2 linked regions of the Callithrix jacchus genome follow. The protein of the gene in region 1 purifies or fractionates together with the protein of each later gene. This does not show direct contact. Links are inferred from orthologs where the notes say so. Each region holds a gene or a part of one and is shown on either strand. Other genes may lie near its edges. The genes, in order: RAB35 and GDI1.

Region 1 (3,796 bases):
ATTTCCTGCGTGTCACTTTCACTCTCAGAAATTGTCCCCCTTGTTTGTTTCCTTGCATCCTGCCTCCCTCCTTCACTTTACTTGTGGGTGGAGGGGCCTCGTTCCTTGTTCAGGGCTGTGTCCCTGGGGCCTAGAATGTGCCAGGCACATGTAATGAGCTGGGGGTGGGGGAGCCTGGGGGTGTGTCGTGTGCAGTGTGGGGCTGGGGGCCTGTCGGGAGATGTGGGTTGGGCCTCGTTAACTGCCGTGTGTGTGCAGGCAGCTATATCACCACGATCGGAGTGGATTTCAAGATCCGGACCGTGGAGATCAATGGGGAGAAGGTGAAGCTGCAGATCTGGGACACGGCGGGGCAGGAGCGCTTCCGCACCATCACCTCGACGTGAGTCCACGCCCACTCCCACTCAGCCCGAACCACTGACCTGTGGAAACGGTTGAGCAACCGGTGCCTGGTCATGGTGGAAATGTCACCAATGGGCCCCCGAGGCTGTTGGGAAGTGAGCCTGTTGTCAGCTCTAGTGTGTGCTGTTTGGCTGCAGCCTTCCTGGTCCTGAAGGTGTGAGGGGATGGGGAGGTGACTGCTGGTGGGGGTGGTGGGTGGTGCTGAGCACTGTGGTGGAGTCTGGCCAGACAGTGGCCATGGGCTGTCCCCTTGGAGAGTCAGCCGGCCCTTCAGCCTGCCACACTGTCACCTTACAGAGGGAGCAGTGTAGTGTTTGCCTTGCTGGGGGTTGTGACGTGCCCTGCCCACCCAGGACTTAGTCACTGGCAATTCCTCTTGGTAGGTGTCAGTTGTGGAAGCTAGAGTTGGCCTGGGCAGGCCCTATCACCCGCCTTGGAGGTAGAGCTGTCTAGAGGGGACACTGTTGTGTGTCATTAGGCCCTTCCCTACCCTTAAAGCTGTTTCCTGGGAAATCCAGCTGCCCACGGGTTGCCACCTTTGTGGCTGAGCTGCAGGCCAGAAGGAAACGGCTCCAGCACAGATGGGAGTGTCCTTTGGAGTGGCTCCCACTGGGTTAGTGGAGCAGGTTTTAGGAAGGAGCAGGGTCTGAAGAGGATTTGGGGCTGTTGGACTGTGTGTCCTGAGGCAAGTTGCCTAGGCTTTCTGTGCTGGCTTCCATGTGGAGGGGGCCAAGTGCTCTGGCGAGGGCGTCAACATGAGTGGCTGGGTTGTGCTGTCTAGCAGCTCTGTGTGCTTGGAGCTGCTGTCATCCCATTTTACAGAGAGCACCCTGGAGGGGTCCCTCCCAGTGCCCGAGCCTGCGCTCCACACAGCGGCCTGTGCAGAGTCAGGGGCAGCTATCTGGCTCCACGGGCACCTCCTCGGCTCTCTCGAGCAGCAGCTCTAGAATTGGCCTCAGGAAGGCGGATGAAGAAGTCCCGGCCAGCGGCCCCCTTCCTCCCTGCAGTGTGAAAGCTGGGTGCACCCCATGCTGGCAGCCCACCCCTGGCCCTTCGGCATCTCCCGAGGTGGGAAGTGTGGGGTGCACTGCTCCCATGGGTGGCTGGGAGTGTTGGGGAGAGTAGGGCCGCTGAAGGAGGGACAGGTGCACTGGGCGGGCAGCTCGGGGCTGGAGCCAGGGCAGAAGGCTTGTCACTGGGCTCACCCTGCACTGAGCACACAGCACACGTGTGCTGCAGCCCGTGGTGCCCAAATCCCTGGGAGCTCACAGTCCCAGGGTCGCTGGGTACAGCCTGTGTGGTGATGGTTGATGAGCCTGTGAGCAGGGGCTCTGTGGCCTGCATGTCTTGGCAGCTGCCATTGAGGATCTGCAGAGGACGCTGGGGCAGGGCTGGCATCAGTGCTTTGGGCAGCCTGGGGCTGCAGGCCCAGGCAAGACAAGCCCCTATGCTAGGTTCAGCTGGTCTGGGCTCTGACCTTGCTCTGTCGCTAGGATTTCACCTGCTTTATTTCGGTTAATCCTGGTGGAGAGGACTGTGACTATCTCCATTTTATGGACAGGAAAACAAGCCCAGGGAGGATGAAGCCTCCTAACTTGGGGGGCAGGAGTGAGGGGTGCTCAGGGTTGGCGCTGAGGCTGCCGAGGCCCTCCTCCGCTGGGCAGGTGGTGCCCCTGCTTTCCTGCCCCATCCTGCGCTTTAAAACCAGGCAGAGGTTTGGGGCAGCAGAGGTTGGGAGGCCCGTGGCCATGAGGAATGAATCCCCAGGGAGGGCGGTGGGGCCTGGGGGGCCTGAGGCTCTTTCACCAGGAGGAGCCACAGCCCCTCCCTGCCACCATGAAGTCACCTGCTTTTCGGGCTGGGCAGGGCAGGAAGAGGGTGAACTGGTTCCTCCATTCCGTGGGGAGCTGGGAAGAGTTACTCGGCTTCCTGGGAGCAGCATGGGATTTTCCCAGGGGGCTTGGGAAGGGGTGGCCTGTGGGCAGTGGCTGGACTCCTGCTGCCATCCTGACTGTCTGGGAAAGCAGAGTGGTAGCTCTGTCTTAAGAGTCCTGCTCTGGCCCTCACGAGGCAGGAGGCCCTGAAGGGCGCACGGGAAGTCTCGATGCCCTGTGATGGTCACTGGCAAAGAAGGAAGGAGTTTTGGGGAAGTCAGTTTTCAGAGTTTTCGGGAATGGGACAATCAGGATACAGTAGTGTGATTTTCTGATGCAGGGCATTAAAAGAGAAACTGAAACTGTCCTGTTAGCCTGGCGGGAAAGAGCCCTGTGGTCACCCCCTCTTGGGTTCTTGCTCTCAGAAGCTGAGGTTTGCCGGCGCTGAGAGGTGTGGGTGGGGTGGAGGTGAGGGGAGAAGTGAGAAGGAAAGCTGGGTCTGGGAGTCAGATCTGGCTGCTGCACTCAGCCTCGGGTCCTTGAGGGTCACATGGCCATCCTGAGGTCTCCTGGATCAGGTGGCTGCAGAGATTAGTAAGGTAATGGATACCAAGCCCCCTGGCTCGGAGCCTGGCCTAGAGCAGAGTCCCGGTGAGTGAAAGCGATTCCTGGTGGCCATGGGAAGCTTCAGTGCTCCGGACCTTCCTAGCCAGAGCTCTGAGCCCCTGACTTCATCTGCAGATGAATTCTCTGCTCTCAGATAAAGCCCCTTTTCTGGGCCTCAGATGAGGTGGAGGTGCTCAGGGAACTGCTGGGGCTCTGCGCCAGGGCCAGGGCTGTAGGTGTCCCTTGGCCTCTCTGATCATCTTCAGCAAAGGAGAGTCTGCAGAGCCATCCACTCCTTGCGCTTCCTCTGCTCTTCCTGCGGCTCCAGCGCGCCCTCACTCTGGAAGGCATCGCCATGCCATTCCGTGTGCTGAGCCGACTGCTTTCCGCCGCTGCTGCCAAGGCCAGAGCTGGTTCTTGGGCCCAGTGCCAAGACAACTTGATTGTCATAGCTCCCCCAAAGCCAAGAAGCAATGTTGTCCTGGAAGCAAAGCTGCGGCAGAATGAAGCCCTGGGAGGAGATCCCAGCAGCGGTGTTGAGGGTGGAGCCAGAATGGGGCAGGGGCAGGGGCAGGTTGGGCTTTGCCCCAGGGCTGGGCAGGGTGGAGGTACTTACAGCTGGAGCAGTTGGCAGCCAGAAGGCTGGGAGGAAGTAGCTTGTCCACTCGTGGTTTGTGTGGTGTCCTGAGGAGCCTCAGGGAGGAGGTCCCTGCGGCTCTAGGGAGAGCAGGAGTGGGGGCTCTGGCTGATTGCACAGTTCAAGGCAGGGTTGCTCTCTGGCCTCCAGCCCTGCGACAGAGGGAAGTGGAGGCTATGGTTCTGTCTGCCTCTGGGGATTGATGTCTTTCTGTACCGTTCGGATGAATGGGGAGATGGGGTCTGGAGAGGAGAGTTTGATGCAGACCTCCTGGCTG
Region 2 (4,499 bases), on another chromosome or scaffold:
TGGTCCAAGTAGCTGGGGGACAGGGGTAAGGGAAGATGCTCCAATAGCAGCACCCTTGACTCACCACCACCCAGGTACCAGGCCAGTCTTCCCACCACCCTGAATGGCCTAGGGAACATGAAGATCAAATGCAAGGGGGAAATGGAAAGGGTGATAGGTGAGCCTATGGCTGAGTACAAGAGACATGCGGGGCAGGGGAACAGCAGGCAGGTGTGGGGAGGGAGGAGGCAGGCCGGGCGAGGGGGCTGCCGCCACACCAGCTTCCCTCACTCATCAGTGCGGTAGAGCGCCAGGGCGTGGCCAGTGAAATCGATGACATCCTGGCCCAGATCAAACTTTCGGTAGACATCACGCATGCTGGTAGTCTGAGGGTCAACACCCTCAAAGGTCTTGGGGTCATTCTCATCGAAGTTTGCCACAAACACCAGGAACTTGCGGAAGCGCCGTTTCTCAAACATGCCCATCAGATCTAAGGCAGGCGGCAGGACGAGGTTCTGCACCAGCGCAGCACAAAACTCTCCTTCCCAAAGGGCAGGGCCCCACTCCCAGTGTAGCTGTTGTGGGACCTTAGCTCAACCCCTCCGCTCTTTTCAGCCTCGGTTTCCCTGCCTCTATGAAGAGGGGACTGGCCTGGATGGCTCTAAGGGCCTTCCTTGCTCGGACATTTGGGGATGTCTCGGGGATCCAGTGGAGCCCCTGCCAAAAGGTCAAGTCTTTCCAAAGGAGCCCTGTCCTCCTCCACGTCACATCCCTGCTGCGTGTAGGCCTCTCTCCTGGCAGCCATCCGTGAGGCATGGCATGGGGCAGAGAGGATACAGAGTGAAGGGCCTCTGGTTCTTCATGGGGAATGTGACTTTGGACAAGGGGGTGCCTTACTCTGGACAGCCACCCATCCCAAGGACAGTCAACTTCCCTGCCACCCCATGATTCTCTGGCTCAGGGGGCCCACACTCACTGGAAGCCAAGGCCTCAGTCTCAGTGGACGGTACTTTGTAGATCTTGCCCCCCTTGTAGACAAAGCTGCCCTCCACCACCTTGAAGTCCAGATAGCGAGTCACCTCTGTATACAGTAGCATCTTTACCAGCTGCCCTGTGGGTGTGCATGGGGCAACATCGGCACTGCTCTCTCCAGAGTCTCTGCTGGTCTGGCTGCACCTCCCCATCACCCCGACCTGCAATATGTCCTTCCTGTCCCTCACCGTTAGCCATGAGGAATTTGGGAATGAGGTCAACGTTCCAGTCTCGGCCTCGGCCCATCGACTCAGGGGGCCCCTCCAGCAACTGAAAACGCTTATACAGCTGTAAGCAGAAGAGAGACACCTCAGGGACCATCTCCTCCTGCTCCAGGCACCTGGGGAGCTTCTTCTACCCTGTGCCGCTACGTGGGAGGTGAACAGGGATGGGCCTGGGCCCAGATGTCTCACCTCCTCCAGGGGTGTGATGGAGGAGCTCTCACCCCCATAGTAGGGGTTCCGGTCCATGTGCAGCACCTTCTTCCCGTTCACAGACATGATGCCCGACAGGATGCATTCCTGGAGGGAGGGCAATACCATCCTCTCACTCCTACCTGCCTCCCTTCCTACCAGCAGCCCTGATTTGTTCCCCACCCAAACCTGATCCAGTGGACAGCTCCTTCCACCCCCTCAAACCAGCTAGTTGCCTCGCCTAAAATTGGGGTGACAGCTTCATCTGACCACCGTCTCCTTTGTAACCTTGCTGGGCAAAGGAGTCCCATCCCCCTCACAAGGTAGGCAGTGAAATAATGGAGGCTCTGAGAGAGGCAGGGCATCCAGCAGACACAGGATGGCCTTCCAGTACCCACAAGCCAATGGACATGTATCTACGCAGAGCTGCACAGAAAGGCTGTTAAAACACAATGAGGCGCAGACGAGACCTAGCTGGACTGCGAAGGACACTCGAAAGGGAGGTGAAGAAAGGCTTAGCGCAGTCCTTGAAATTGTAGGCCCCACCCTGGACTGATCTTTCTTCAAATGGCGGGAGACCCTGCTGCTGATGAGGGGCATCTGGGCTTGGACTGAGAAAGAAGAGTCTCTCTGGGGAGCGGGCCAACGGGGTTTTTGGGGAAAAGGGGAAGATAAATACCCTCACCCGTCACTGTCACTAGCCCAAGGACAAAGGCTGCAGATGCTACTCAGCCTGAGGTCTCCATAGGCAACCGGGGTGGGGTTGAGGGAATGTGCTTACTGCCCCCACCGCTGCTCCTTCTGGAACATTCCCTGGATCCCCTGGCCCCAGAAGACGAGGAGGTGGGCTGAGGGCCCACCCTGAGGAGGCCCCCTGACCCCATGTCCCTGTCCCTACCGGGATTAGCGCAAGATGGGAAGGGACGCTAAGCGGGCGATGGGTGCGGGCAACCTGCGGGAGGGGGGGAGATTCCGTGATGGGTGGGGGCGATGGGTGGGCGGGGTCGGGGCACCGGGCTTAGCTGGGGTGCATTTTCCGGCCCAGCAGGCACAGGGGTAGGAAAGATGGGAGGGTGCCGGGGGTCAGACCCGGGCAGCCAGGAAGGGGGCCCCTTCGGGAAGATGGGGTCATAGCAAAAAGCAGAGGCGACGTCGCGGGGGGAGCGGCGCGGGGAGCGGCGGGGTGGGCACGGTGCCGGCTTTTTGGAGAGCCGAGCGCATCAGATGGCAGTGACCGGAGGGTGGGCCGGCGGCCACATCATCGCGGGGGGTGGCGAGGGCAAGACACGGGGCCAAGAGCGCCTGGGGCCGCACTTACGGTGAGGCCGGTCCCCAGCACGATCACATCGTATTCCTCGTCCATGGTCAGGCCTCGGTGCCAGTGCCCGCTCGGCTCCTCCTCCTCCTTCACCGCCGCCGCCGCCGCCGCAGCACTGGACCAAAGATGGCGGCGTTTCGGTCGCCGCCTGACCCCTCCGCCTCGTCAAAGAGTCCCGCCTATTCTCGAGCCCCGCCGCGCCCGGCCAGATCCACCGTTTCCCCAGCTCGCCTCCCAGGAGACCTGCTAGGGCCCGGGCCACAGCACCAGCGCGGCTCCGAGGACGACGCTGCTCGCCGAGGGTCCAGAGAGGCGCGGGGCGGGGCGGGCGGGGCGGGCTGGCGGCCGGTACTGCGGCTAGGAAAGGATCCGTGCGCGGAGCCGCGCGCGCCCCGCCCCATCCTCCCCGCCCCGCCCCGCCCCGCGCGCGCCCGCCCAGCCCCGCGGGAGGCTCGGCGCGGTCCCGCGGCCGGGTGCGCGCCGCTGCGGCAGCCGGGGCAGCCCCCTCATGATACGAAGGCTGCCATTGTCACGACGGCCTCCCGAGTCGCCAAAGCGTAACGGGACTCGGCCCGACCGCCCCTTCCTGCCCTAAGTGGTTAGGGCCCACCCTGCTAAAGCCCCTCCAGGTCTCCGCGGATGCTTCCTCACCTCTTCCTCACCGGGCTCCATCCTCCCGCATCCCTCCAGCGAGCACGCACCTAAAGCCCAGTGCAGAAATGACCTACAAGAGGCCCAAATCGTGGCGATCCGCGTTTATTAGGAAGGAAACAACCGAGCACGCCAGGCTCCTGCCAGGCACTCCCGATGGGAACATGCCAGACAGCTGGAGATTGCACCCAGCCCACCTGGGGTGGAGGTCCCTTCCTTCTCAGGCCACAGAAATAAACCCCAGTGTACTGCTTATCATTAGCACAGCATCACCAGAAAACAATAACGACAGCAAAGCAGGTCAGACAGTTAAGTAGTACCTCCACACCCCCAAACTCAGGGAGCCCCATAACCTTAAGGAGAGAGCATTTGCTACATAAAAGCACTATCCACAGCCAGGGATGATGTAGACACAATAAATAAGGAGAAAGGGGACCCTAGAATTCATGTCCCTTACGCCTCACCGCGGCTGAGCCTGGGACATTGGTCTAGCATCTACGCAGAATTATGTACACCTTGTTGGTAGGGATGGGGGCAGCCCCAGGAAATCTCCTTAGTGGGCTGAACGGGGAGCAAGATGGGCTAAAGGGAGCTTGGGGTTCATGCTGTGGTAGGAAGAGGGACACTGTCCCACCCTCAACCCCCTCCTGGCACAGGGTCACACAATCTGGGTCAAAGAAATGGTGGGGCCCTTGTGGTCATCAAAGCGATCCATGGTCTTGAGGCTGAGGATCATGTGCAGGCCATAGGTGAAGATGAAGAGCATGAAGAGGGAGGTGAGCAGCCCCATCCATATGCCGGGGGAGAAGAAGCCGGCGCAGTCGCTGGCATAGGAGAACTGCTCGCCCATCACATTGAAAGCTTGGATCTGGCAGACACACAGACAGGGGTCAGAAAGGACCGTCGGGAGGCCCGAGCCTGTGCCCAAGCAATTCTGTGACTCTTTGGGCCTCTCCTTGCCTCTCAACCACCAGCCTTGGCTCCATGACCTGAAGCTGGGCCACCCCTGCTCCATACCTGGAAGTCCTGAAGTGTCATCTGCCAGTGGGAGGGCTGCGTGCGGGCCACAAGGAGACTGCCCTTCTTGCTCAGGCTGCTGACGTACT

The links.
Region 2: the proteins of RAB35 (region 1) and GDI1 purify together in Homo sapiens (affinity purification with mass spectrometry; 3 studies listed by BioGRID and IntAct, counting the BioPlex papers as one, with this or other methods). This does not show direct contact. The link is inferred for Callithrix jacchus from reciprocal best matches to the Homo sapiens genes RAB35 and GDI1.

Annotation. Positions count from the first base shown.
Region 1 is NC_133510.1:123,230,418-123,234,213, reverse strand, and holds part of RAB35 (ras-related protein Rab-35), read left to right. Parts: intron 1-258; coding exon 259-382; intron 383-3,796. UniProt on the Homo sapiens protein: The small GTPases Rab are key regulators of intracellular membrane trafficking, from the formation of transport vesicles to their fusion with membranes.
Region 2 is NC_133524.1:150,231,463-150,235,961, reverse strand, and holds the start of GDI1 (rab GDP dissociation inhibitor alpha), read right to left. Parts: upstream 2,871-4,499; 5' UTR 2,788-2,870; coding exon 2,743-2,787; intron 1,533-2,742; coding exon 1,425-1,532; intron 1,300-1,424; coding exon 1,200-1,299; intron 1,091-1,199; coding exon 956-1,090; intron 470-955; coding exon 271-469; intron 13-270; coding exon 1-12. Other genes in the region: ATP6AP1 (V-type proton ATPase subunit S1), read right to left, coding at 4,052-4,261, 4,411-4,499. UniProt on the Homo sapiens protein: Regulates the GDP/GTP exchange reaction of most Rab proteins by inhibiting the dissociation of GDP from them, and the subsequent binding of GTP to them. Promotes the dissociation of GDP-bound Rab proteins from the membrane and inhibits their activation.